Linked DNA regions of Oryctolagus cuniculus. The protein of the gene in region 1 purifies or fractionates together with the protein of each later gene. This does not show direct contact. Links are inferred from orthologs where the notes say so. Each region holds a gene or a part of one and is shown in the gene's direction. Other genes may lie near its edges. The genes, in order: SBF2, MTMR1 and MTMR2.

Region 1 (3,651 bases):
AACCACTGCTTGGGCTTTGCTGTTAAAAGGTGGGGAGAAAACTTTACTTCGTCTTCAAGGCTGCGCATATTACAGTACCTACTCCTGCCTCGGGCTTGAGGCACCCCTTCCTGATAAACTGGTACAGTGCGTGGTGATTTTTGACTCCGTCAAACAAGACATTCAAACAAGACAGCACCCTTCCTGGCCTTCTAGAGAAATCCCTCTGCCTCGCCCTGACACATTTTCCTCCCTGTTGAAAACCAAGTGACACAATGTCAGAATATCCCCGACACGCCCCCTTTGTTCTGATTGGATTTCTAAATCAGCCATGCATACAGACCCCACTCTTCTGTCACCCAGGGTCTCCGTGACCATGCTATAATCTGCCAAACAAAACAAACACTTTAAATGGCTTCCTAACGGCCAAAAATTTTAAAAAGAAACAACAAAAAAAATTTTAATTGAGTTAATCGCATCATCCCTTAAGTGCTTATAATTTCTCTTGCAAAAAAGTGTACACAAGTGCCCACACCTGCGCTGTGTGAAGGGCCATGTGGATGCAGGCTGTGCACTGGAGGAGCACCGCCGTCCGTCGCCATACTCTGCGGGCTGCCCGGGAGCTGCTGGCCAGGGGCTTCCTTCCGGTGGAGCTGTCTCCCTGAAGCTGCGCAGTGCTGAGGGTTTTGTGCCTGGTTACCATCTTTAGAGCCTTAAGAAATGTTTCCTCTGCCACATATCTCATGCTTTTAGTCAATGTTAATTTATCTAACTTCCATTTTGTTGGATCTCTTTTAATTTACAGGAACTTTATTTGATGATAAAGGAGACAAACATGCCAAAAAAGGAGTGTGTATTTGGGAATGCATTGACAGAATGCACAAGAGGAGCCCCATTTTCTTCAATTATTTATATTCACCAGTGGAAATTGAGGTAGAATAATAAATCATTTGTGCTTCATTTTCTATGAATATATTTTGTTAAATTTTTTCGTAGTTTTATAAGATTTTATTAACATTTGAGCAGGTTTTTCTTATGAATCATTTTATTTATTTGAAAGACAGAGTTAAAGAGAGAAAGAGCTCTTTAATCCTCTGGTTCACTCCCCAAATGGCCGTAACAGCCAGAGCTGAGCCAATTGAAAGCCAGGAACCAGGAGCTCCTTCCGGGTCTCTCATGTGGGTGCAGGGGACCAAGGGCTTGGGCCATCATCTGCTGCTTTCCCAGGTGCATTAGCAGGGAGCTGGATCAAAAATGGAGCAGCTGGGACTTAAACTGGCCCATGTGGGATGGCAGCACTGCAGGCTGGGGCTTTAACCTGCTGTGCCACAGTTGCTGGCCCCTTGAGTAGTTTTTATACCAATAACTGTTTAAAAGTTTGAGACACTGTGGGTTTGAGTTGTGATAGAGACTGTTGACCAGATTCTTGCCATAAAAATCAGGAGCTGGCCTCACAAAACCTAGAAAGGACAAATTCAAGAAAGTCAAAACAAGGCAGCTTTCTCAGGAAGAAAGTACTAACTTGAAATCTCAACAGACGCTCTAAAGTGAGACATACAATACTTTAGAAAAGATTTCCTGCAGTCCCTTCATACCAGGGCAATGGAAGGGCCTCTGTTGGAAGCAGGGATGTTTGGAGCCCAGCCCAAGAAGTATGGCATCTCCCAGGGGCAAGAGTGCTGTGCTGTGCACAGCTCTGCCGTTGGCGCTAGGCTGGATCAGGCGGGTTTGATAAGTGGAGCTACCCTTACTTAGGGGTAGAGAGGCTCCTGTCCTAGGCCTCCTGCATTCACACTCCAGTCTGGGTTTCCTCCACCTGTACCCACTAATGAGATGAGTAGTACCAGAAACAAGGGTGCAGGCTTAGACACACTTCCTCATTTCAGCCGTGCTTTGGGCACCTCCAGGACGGCCATCGGCATGTTTCCTCATACCCACCTCCTAATCGAAGTCAAGTCCCCCCAGGCCCAAAGAAGTAGTTGTGTGGCAAGGGGTGGACGGAGTTTGGCTTTGTGGGCTGGGATATACACAAACACTCATGCGAGGCCCTCAGAGGATAGGGTAGAGCTGAGATGGGAGGAGAAGGAGGTTAGGCCAAGGACTAGGAGCTGTGGCCAACTCCCCCACCCAGTGCCACCACTTCCAGTGTAGAAACCTGAGGAAGCCAAGAATTCTCTAGTTGAACCTGGCCTTCCAGGTCATTAGGAGGTCGTAGTTGTCACAGTGGGAAGATGGACCATGTTTTATTTAATAGTGTATTTTAATGTATGATTTGTAAATATTTAGACAAATTGCATTTGAACTTCTAGCCATATCCTTGCCCTTGGTCCTGCAAGCGTTAGCAGCTGACCTTTCAGCAGGCTTGGGGAACTTCGGGGTCAAAATGAAACCATGAAGTATTTCAGAGTTCTCTTTAAACAGGCCCTGAAGCCCAGTGTAAATGTCTCCAGCCTCAAAAAGTGGGATTACTACATAGAGGAGACCCTGTCCACAGGGCCTTCGTATGACTGGGTGATGCTGACCTCCAAACACTGCCCCTCTGAAGACCCCGACCTGCCTGGAGGAGCTGGCCCCCAGAGCCGGAGGAGAACAGTGTGGCCATGCTATGATGACGTCAGCCGCGCCCAGCCCGATGCTCTCACCAGCCTTTTCAGTGTAAGTCACCCACGTGCAGGCCAGCCTGAGACTGGTTTACAAACCTCTGAACACGGCTGTCCTCCCTCTGGGCTCACACAGCCCTCCCAGAGATTGAACAGGGCAGACCAGGCTTACCTACCGGAAGAGAGTCCAAAAACAGTGTCCAGCATTACAGGGAAGCAGTTGGGCAAATGGAGCAATTTACTCCTTCCGGCAGCTTCCCAATTGTTTCAGCTGCGCAAGCAGGCTGAATCAGGCCTGGGCTATGGCTTCTGTGGGTGCTTTACTTCCTCTGCTCAGAAGTGTGGGTAGCTGATGGCCTGATGGGAATATTGCCAGCCGTCTTCTGCAAGGAACATTCTGTAGCAACGCCATGCTGGCAGTGCCGCCCCGAGGAAAGGTTTTATCTGATTGGGGCCGACGGGTCTGGAGAGTTTCCTCCCTCTGGTTTTCTGGCCAGGAAGAGCATGACCACTCTGCCACGGAAGCAGCTGCTCTGACAGACAGAAGGGAAGCCATCTCCTTGGACCTTTTTAGCTTTGCTCTTTCCTTGTCTGGTTGGAGTCATCAGAGCTGAGGGGTTCCTCTGTCAGGGGCATAGTTGTCTTCTGCTACAGCTGTTGGGGTTGGGCTGCAGGCCCAGTGCTTGACCTTTTGCTTTGGCCATGAGATTTCCCCTGGGTTGCCCAAGAGTAAAGGTGTTTAGGATACAGATCTCATCCCTTACTGTTTAAGCCACTTTGCACAAACAGGCCTAATTGTAGGTGCTGTGCCATCATCTTGGCCACAGCACAACACACCACCTAGAGCTCCCACACTCTTCCTGGCGTGGGAGACCTCGGAGGTCCTTGTCTTCCATGTTCTTCAGCTGCCCTCTGGCCGTGGGTGCAGAGCAGAGGAGATGGCTCTGGGCCACACCCTGACCTCTATGAAACATCGGCCCACTGGGAAACTTTTTCATTTCTTCACAGGAAATTGAAAAGTTAGAGCATAAATTGAACCAAACTCCGGAGAAGTGGCAGCAGCTGTGGGAGA
Region 2 (2,492 bases), on another chromosome or scaffold:
CATCCTATGTCCCCCACTCCCGACTGTGTCTTATATGCGCTAACACCCATGGGACTACTTTGGCTCTCAGGTGGGAGTTTTCTCTAGCATAATACTATATTCAAGCTTCAGGGTTTCCTAGTCCTTCAGGAATGCTTTTGATTGATTGCAAATGAAAATGAGCAAGGATGCAGAAAGCTACCCGAAGACGTAAGCAGTGCATGTGAGCAGCCCTGGGTGTGAGACTGCATATATATTAACAGCTTGATCGCAAAGCCTTCCTCCATTTGACTGCAATCAAGTGGTCCCAACAGACAGGGGAAGACACCAAAAAGGCCCAAAGGACTGGAGAACTGTTACTTCCTCACAGTGGTCTCTGGGGTCAGCCTTCGCCATCAGGCCCTGACACTGGCAGACCACAGGAAGAAGGGAGGGGACAGCAAAGTGGGGAGTTCTTAGCCTCCTCAGTGCTGGTTCCTGGGCACCCCATTATACTGGAGGCATGTGGCTATCTTCTGTCAGCACTCCAGGAAGGCTGTATACCACTGGCACCATGATGCTACAGCTCAGAATCTGAGGGAGAGGAGGCAAGACCTGGTGAGAGATGAGCCCCAGGCAGGCTGGAGCCAGACCAGGCCTGGAGTCCGACGTCAAGATGTTAGTTCCAGGGTAGGGGCAAGATGACGCTGGTCTAAGTGGGGAGTCACATGGTCTGCCCCAGGCTTAAGACTCAGTCTTGTAGCTGCTGTGTGTACCTCTGTGTACTAGCTGCTGTGTGTACCAACTGTGCCTGTGGGAAAGCAGGGCCAGGCCTAGTCGGGCAGGCAGTGGGAACTCCTCAGATCTCGCTCACCCCCATAACATCCTTCACCCCTCAGCTGGTGAGCTACCTCCTTGGTTGGTCTCAGGCCCAGCCTGAGAGCTTCAGAGCTTCACAAGGGGTAAGCTGGATCCTGTACCTGCAGTAGTGGGCCTGGGTAGCCCGTATACCCCAGGGGAAGAACATCACACATACACAGCACCACCCATCACTGGGTTTAAGAGAAGTACTTGGACCACTCACATGCCTTATTGGTGTGCCTTGGTCTGAGGCCTGGCTCTCTTCCCAGTTCCAGCTTCCTGCTAATGTGCAGCAGATGGCTCAAGTAGTTGGGTCCCTGCCACCCACATGGGAGACTTGGAAAGAGTTCTACACTCCTGGCTCCAGCCTTGACTGTTGCAGGCATTTGGGGAGTGAACCAGTAGATGGAAGATCTTTCCAATAAAATGAAAAATAATTGGGGTGAGGCACTGCATTGATGCTGAACAAACGGCCTGTTCCCCCAGCATGGCTGCCCACTCCAGAGGCTTCTCTGAGCCCTTCCTCCAATGGATGAAATGATTACAACTTCAACTTGTAGGAAGTGCCGATTTAACATAAGTATGTTCCGTGAGCAGAACTATTTATAAAAACTCAAATGCAGAGATAACGGAGCCAGGGGAGAGGGATGTCCACATCAGCAGTGCTTTGTGCAGCAGCTGGAGCCCTCCACTTGGGTTGGAGACCATCCTCAGGGGACTGCTGGCTTCTGACTCTGCACACAGTAGCCTTGGCGGACACAGTTGGTGCGTCTGCTTTTTTTTCCTAGCACACAGGAGCTGGGGAAGGGTGGCTTGTGGGGGACGGGAGTCTGCACGCTTGGCAGGAAGACCGGTGGCCTGAGAGGCTGGGCCCACAGGGTGTGCGGATGCTCCAGTAGTCTAGTACTCCAGCGCCGAGCTGTGTGAGCAGCGAGGTAAGAACGGCCCAATAACGCAGTGCTGTCTGCTCTCCGCCAGATGCCGATTCACCAGAATCTCAAGGAGCTGCTGGCTGTCAGGGCGGAGCTGCAGAAGCGAGTGGAGGACCTGCAGCGGGAGGTGGCCACGCGTGCAGTCTCGTCGTCATCGGAGCGGGGCTCGTCACCCTCCCACGCAGCCACTCCAGTCCATACCTCAGTCTGATGGGAAATGGCCTGGCGGTTGCTGTCCTGCCTGGAGCCTGTGACCTTAAGACTCGGCCCAGGGACCATGTGTGTGGCTAGGCGACAGCTCCCACTGTCGGCGAGTATATTCGTTGTGTGCACAGCCCGTTGCCCTCCTGTCAGTGGGGTCACCGGGACCCGCCTTCCCCTAGTCTAGGCAGCTCGGGAGAAACTCAGATGGAGGTTTAAGGAAGTCTCCGACCTTTGCTTCCAAGTCACAGCCTTCGTTAAATGCAACCACCAGTCATGGAAAGACCACGTTGCTGGCCAGAGGCCTGCCTTCAGCTCTGCCACTTGAGACCTGTGATGGGGAAGTACTTGCAGGGGAGGCAGGCCCTTGCCATCTGTTCTAGTGACCTTCATGCCACGGGGCCTCCTGTTCCAGTTACTGTCATGTACAGATAAGGTATTTTTAAACAAGAGAAACATGCCTTTATTTTCCTACGTCCTTTTTTATGTTTAGTGTAGTAGTCACGGGAGCAGATAGCTGCTTAACTCTACAACGTGAGA
Region 3 (4,207 bases), about 31 Mb from region 1:
GCTAGGGAAGCAGTAAATTCCTATGAATCAATGTAGATACTGAGCTTTTTAAAACTTACAGAAATATAAACAATTGGTTGCTATTTGTCCTTGTCAAGCTGGAGAACAGATTTTGTACTTAAGCACACATCGATTCATTAATAACTACTCTTACCCTAAAAGTAACAAAAGTAGGTTGTTCTTCTGGAGAATGTACTAGCAAGTTAAGATCTTACTGCTCCTATACTTTAAGAATTTCCTAAAAACATCAATTGCAGAGTAGAATTCAAATTTAATTTAAATCAGTATAATCCTATTTATCTTAGCAAGGAATTAAAAAAAAGATTTAGTGTAGTATTTTACAGACATAATCTTTGCATAACTTTACACCCCATATGATGTGACTGGAATTCCTTTTCAATCAGAATTCTTTTCTGTTGTCCTGTCTTTCCTGTGTTCTGTGTAAAGGAAAATTACTAGCACAAGCATTTCCCTTTTACCCAGTTCCTGTTCTCTTATCATAGCTCTATCCCTCCACACTCCCTTCCTGCTCTGCAGTGGAATGTGAAACAGCAGGAAAAGTTTGTCCTTTATTAAACACCAAGTTTTTTGTGTATATTTATTAGTTCTCCCCCATTCTCTCTTCCGCAATTCTTTCTAAAGGGGACAGCAGATTGATGTCAAAGTGCTTTTCCTGGACACACTTTTGGACACTCTACAAATCCACTCAATCCAAGTCACGGTCGGCCTCCAATTTCAGCTCCTTTCCCAGTGCCCTCTCCTTGACGCTGGGCCAGGTGAGGAAGAGGAACTGAGAGATCAGCACTGTTTTTTCGCTACCAATGGTATGCTCTCCCCATTACCTCCAGCAACCACTTCTTGCTTCTGTGCTATCCTTCCTTCATCTTCTCATGGCAGCTACCATTTATTGAATTTATGCTAGAAACGTTCTATGCATTAGTCCAATCTATTCGCTACAGCTTAGGTAGAAGGTAACTCTACTAGCTGTCTGCTTATTCTCTGCCCTACATCGTTTTAAGCATTTTACACTTAAACACTCATCCAAGCGGAGATTGTTCTTCCATTTTTAAAGGTAAGCCGAGTTTCAAGGCTCTGCATTACATGCACGAGGCTGGCAAAGCCTGAATTTGAACCATGTCTGCGCCGCTCTACCCCATAACCATTGCAGCCCCTCATTCATCTTTATCTCTGGTCTCCTCATCCCTTAAGTACACCCATTTTCGCGTACTCCCCGCCTACCGACCCCCGTGTTCCTTCTGCCCCTCCATCCTAGGGCCCGCCCACTTCTCACGACCCTGTCCTCTCGTTTTCCTTGACCCCACACATTCCTGTCTCAATCATCTCCGCGCTTTCAGAGCCTTGCCTTCCCTCTAAGACCCTTGGTCCCTTCCCAGTATTCATTCTCGAATTTTCCCTCCCTCTGCAGCATCCTCGCCTCTCTTCGCTCCACTGGTTCCTCTCACCCCAAGAACACTCAGTCGCCCTCCTAGCCTGAGCCCAGGGGCGGCCCGGACGCACCCGCCGAGCGCGTCGGGGCCGGCGTCTAAGGGGCGCCACGGGGTCCTCCCTCTCCCCTGCAGCCCCCGGGCGCGGTGCAGTCTGGGGGAACATGGCCGCTTCCGGTCTCCCTCCCGGACCGGCGCTGGCCTAACCGCGGCCCTAGCCCGGCGCACTCCGCCCTCCGCTCCTCCCGCCCGGCCGCCGCGGAGGTCGTTTTAGTCCTTCCCTCCTGCTACCGCCGCCGCGCCATGGAGAAGAGCTCGAGCTGCGAGAGTCTGGGCTCCCAGCGGGCGGTAGCCCGGCCGCCCAGCGTGGACTCCCTATCCAGGTAACCAGGACGCGCAGGGCCCCGCCCAGCGTCCTAGAGGGATGGACAGGGGCCGGGACCCGCTGGATGGAGCCCGACTCGCCCCTTCTGGCTCCCGAAGCCTCTGCCGGAATTCCTTCCCTGGGACTTGGGAAGCACTTCTTCCTTCCTCTCTGGGGCGTAGAGGCTGAGGAAGAAGAGGTTAACACTCGCTGCTGCTTCATCGGTCCCGCTACCTCTTGAACCCCGATCTCGTTTTCTCCGCGGTCGGGGAAGCCCCAGCTCATTACTTTTTTTGTCTCTCTCAAATCCCCCCCCCCTTTTTTTTGGATAGGCCTTCTCCCGCTACCCCCCACCCCCCATTTCCTGCCTTTCTCTTTACCTCTGTCCAAAACCTTTCTTTCTTCCATTGAAGTCTGTGGTTTTTGAGTTCTTGTTTAACTTTTTCCTTTTCATCACTTCATAGTCTTAACTCTGTTATGCTTTCCCCTACACTTCGATTTTTCTGCCCACCTCCAGTTTTGCTTAAATATGTAAATAAAAACATCCCTTCTGCTTTTCTCAGCGTTCCAGCTGGAGGAATCTGAGTAGTAGTCTTCATCCTCAGTGATTGGTTTAAGGAAGCAAAATGAGTGGTGGTTTTCTTTCTTGTCATTTCTCTTGTAACAGATGGGAATTTTGTCCTGGAATTTTTGAGGACGTTAGTTTATGAGCTTTGCGGAGAGCCGTTGTATATACTAATTAGAAATGTTTTCATACAGTCTTTTTCTTTAGTTTTAAAATAGTAATTTCAGATTTATTAGGAAATAACAGAAGACCTGTATTGTGAGATAGCCATAATGGAGTCAGTTTCTTTTACCCTGAAAAGTAGTGTTATTGTTACTAGAGAATTATTAGATACTAAACTGCTGTGTGAAAACAGTTTTCATTTTGTCCTTGAATAAATTGAAGTTATTCTGTTAAGTTTATTTTGGACACTGCTAAACATGAATAGAACTGCCATTTTGTCCTGTTGGTATTCAGTACCTCATTGGCCAGCCACTGACTTATCCTGTCATTCAAAATTAGATTTTTTTCCCCATATGCATTCATAGCTCCCTGCCTACTCCTTTTTCAGAGTCCTTAACAAGCACACTGTAGTTGTTGGTTTGTCTTTACTACTAGGTTGTAGGCTATTTGAAAGCTAGTAGCCTACCTTAATCATCTCCTAACACTCAGTACTGACCGTGGACTGTGCATGTAACAGGTACTCACTAAGTGGTGTTTTAAATTTGTATATTGGAGTATCCAGGACAAAGACTTTTTCTGTGCAGTTGATTATGTTTATTTCCACCATTTTTTGAATTCTGTGTTACTGTGAAATTCAGAAAGCTGAGGATTTACATGCTCAGCTGTAAAATCATTTAGAAAACAGGTTGGAAAATTACAATCACATGGGAAAGTTATACATGAAAACTGTGGTTTAAAATAGAATATAAAGAAAACAAATGAGGCGACCAGAACTCTAATCCAAAGGAGAGGAATCAGAACCACTGGAGGCATCACAGTAGATTAGAAAGAAATAAGTTACTGGAAGTTAGGAGGCTCCTGTGTGAAAGTCCCTGGCTAGCTAGCTATTCAGCTTGTGTCAGTTAACTTTCTAGTCCTTAGTTGTCTCTTTTAACATAAGGAAGTTGGTCTAAAACATCTGTAAGAGCCCATAGAATTCTAAACTTCTATAATTTTTTATCTTAATAATACTAAAATGAATGTTTTTCTTTATCAATTACTTATATTCTCCTTACAAATAATCTTTGTTCTGGATTTTCAAATTATATTAAATAAATTGTTGATTAATATAAACTAATTTACCTTACTGTCAGTTTGACACATTAAATTTGCTGAGATTTCTCTTTTTTTAGAAAGTTAATGTTTATATATGTATTATAATTAATAAAAGAAGTTACATTAATGATTTATGAATTTGAGAAAATTAACTCCCCAAAAGAATTTGACTATAAATAGATTAGCTGTCCTATCTGGACAAATATGACTTTGAATTTTCAACAAGAGAGTGTCAGCTTTCATTCTTCACCTTTGGGAGGTACAAAAACAATTATTGAATGTCTGCTACATAAAGGTTACCCTGTTAAGTTCTTTCATATTTTTTTATTTCAGTTGTTATCATACTTGTTTGTGGCACTCCCTTTTAGTATAAAATTAGCTACATTATAAGCACTTGTTAGAAAGCTTAATTTAAAACATTTTAGGCCACCCAGGTAGTCACTGGTGATTCTAATACACAGCCATGCTGGGCTATCATAATTCTAAAAGCTTTGGTAAGTTTATTTGTAGATTGTTTTTGTTTTTGCCTTGCTAGCTCATGACAAAGCAAAATACCATATTTGGGATATATTATCT

What was found.
Region 2: the proteins of SBF2 (region 1) and MTMR1 purify together in Homo sapiens (affinity purification with mass spectrometry; 3 studies listed by BioGRID and IntAct, with this or other methods). This does not show direct contact. The link is inferred for Oryctolagus cuniculus from reciprocal best matches to the Homo sapiens genes SBF2 and MTMR1.
Region 3: the proteins of SBF2 (region 1) and MTMR2 purify together in Homo sapiens (affinity purification with mass spectrometry; 3 studies listed by BioGRID and IntAct, with this or other methods). This does not show direct contact. The link is inferred for Oryctolagus cuniculus from reciprocal best matches to the Homo sapiens genes SBF2 and MTMR2.

What each region holds. Positions count from the first base shown.
Region 1 is NC_091432.1:56,385,043-56,388,693, forward strand, and holds part of SBF2 (myotubularin-related protein 13), read left to right. Parts: intron 1-784; coding exon 785-912; intron 913-2,400; coding exon 2,401-2,634; intron 2,635-3,587; coding exon 3,588-3,651. UniProt on the Homo sapiens protein: Guanine nucleotide exchange factor (GEF) which activates RAB21 and possibly RAB28. Promotes the exchange of GDP to GTP, converting inactive GDP-bound Rab proteins into their active GTP-bound form.
Region 2 is NC_091453.1:129,569,556-129,572,047, forward strand, and holds part of MTMR1 (phosphatidylinositol-3-phosphate phosphatase MTMR1), read left to right. Parts: intron 1-1,797; coding exon 1,798-1,962; 3' UTR 1,963-2,492. UniProt on the Homo sapiens protein: Lipid phosphatase that specifically dephosphorylates the D-3 position of phosphatidylinositol 3-phosphate, generating phosphatidylinositol. Could also dephosphorylate phosphatidylinositol 3,5-bisphosphate to produce phosphatidylinositol 5-phosphate.
Region 3 is NC_091432.1:87,356,384-87,360,590, reverse strand, and holds the start of MTMR2 (phosphatidylinositol-3,5-bisphosphate 3-phosphatase MTMR2), read left to right. Parts: upstream 1-1,358; 5' UTR 1,359-1,748; coding exon 1,749-1,828; intron 1,829-4,207. UniProt on the Homo sapiens protein: Lipid phosphatase that specifically dephosphorylates the D-3 position of phosphatidylinositol 3-phosphate and phosphatidylinositol 3,5-bisphosphate, generating phosphatidylinositol and phosphatidylinositol 5-phosphate.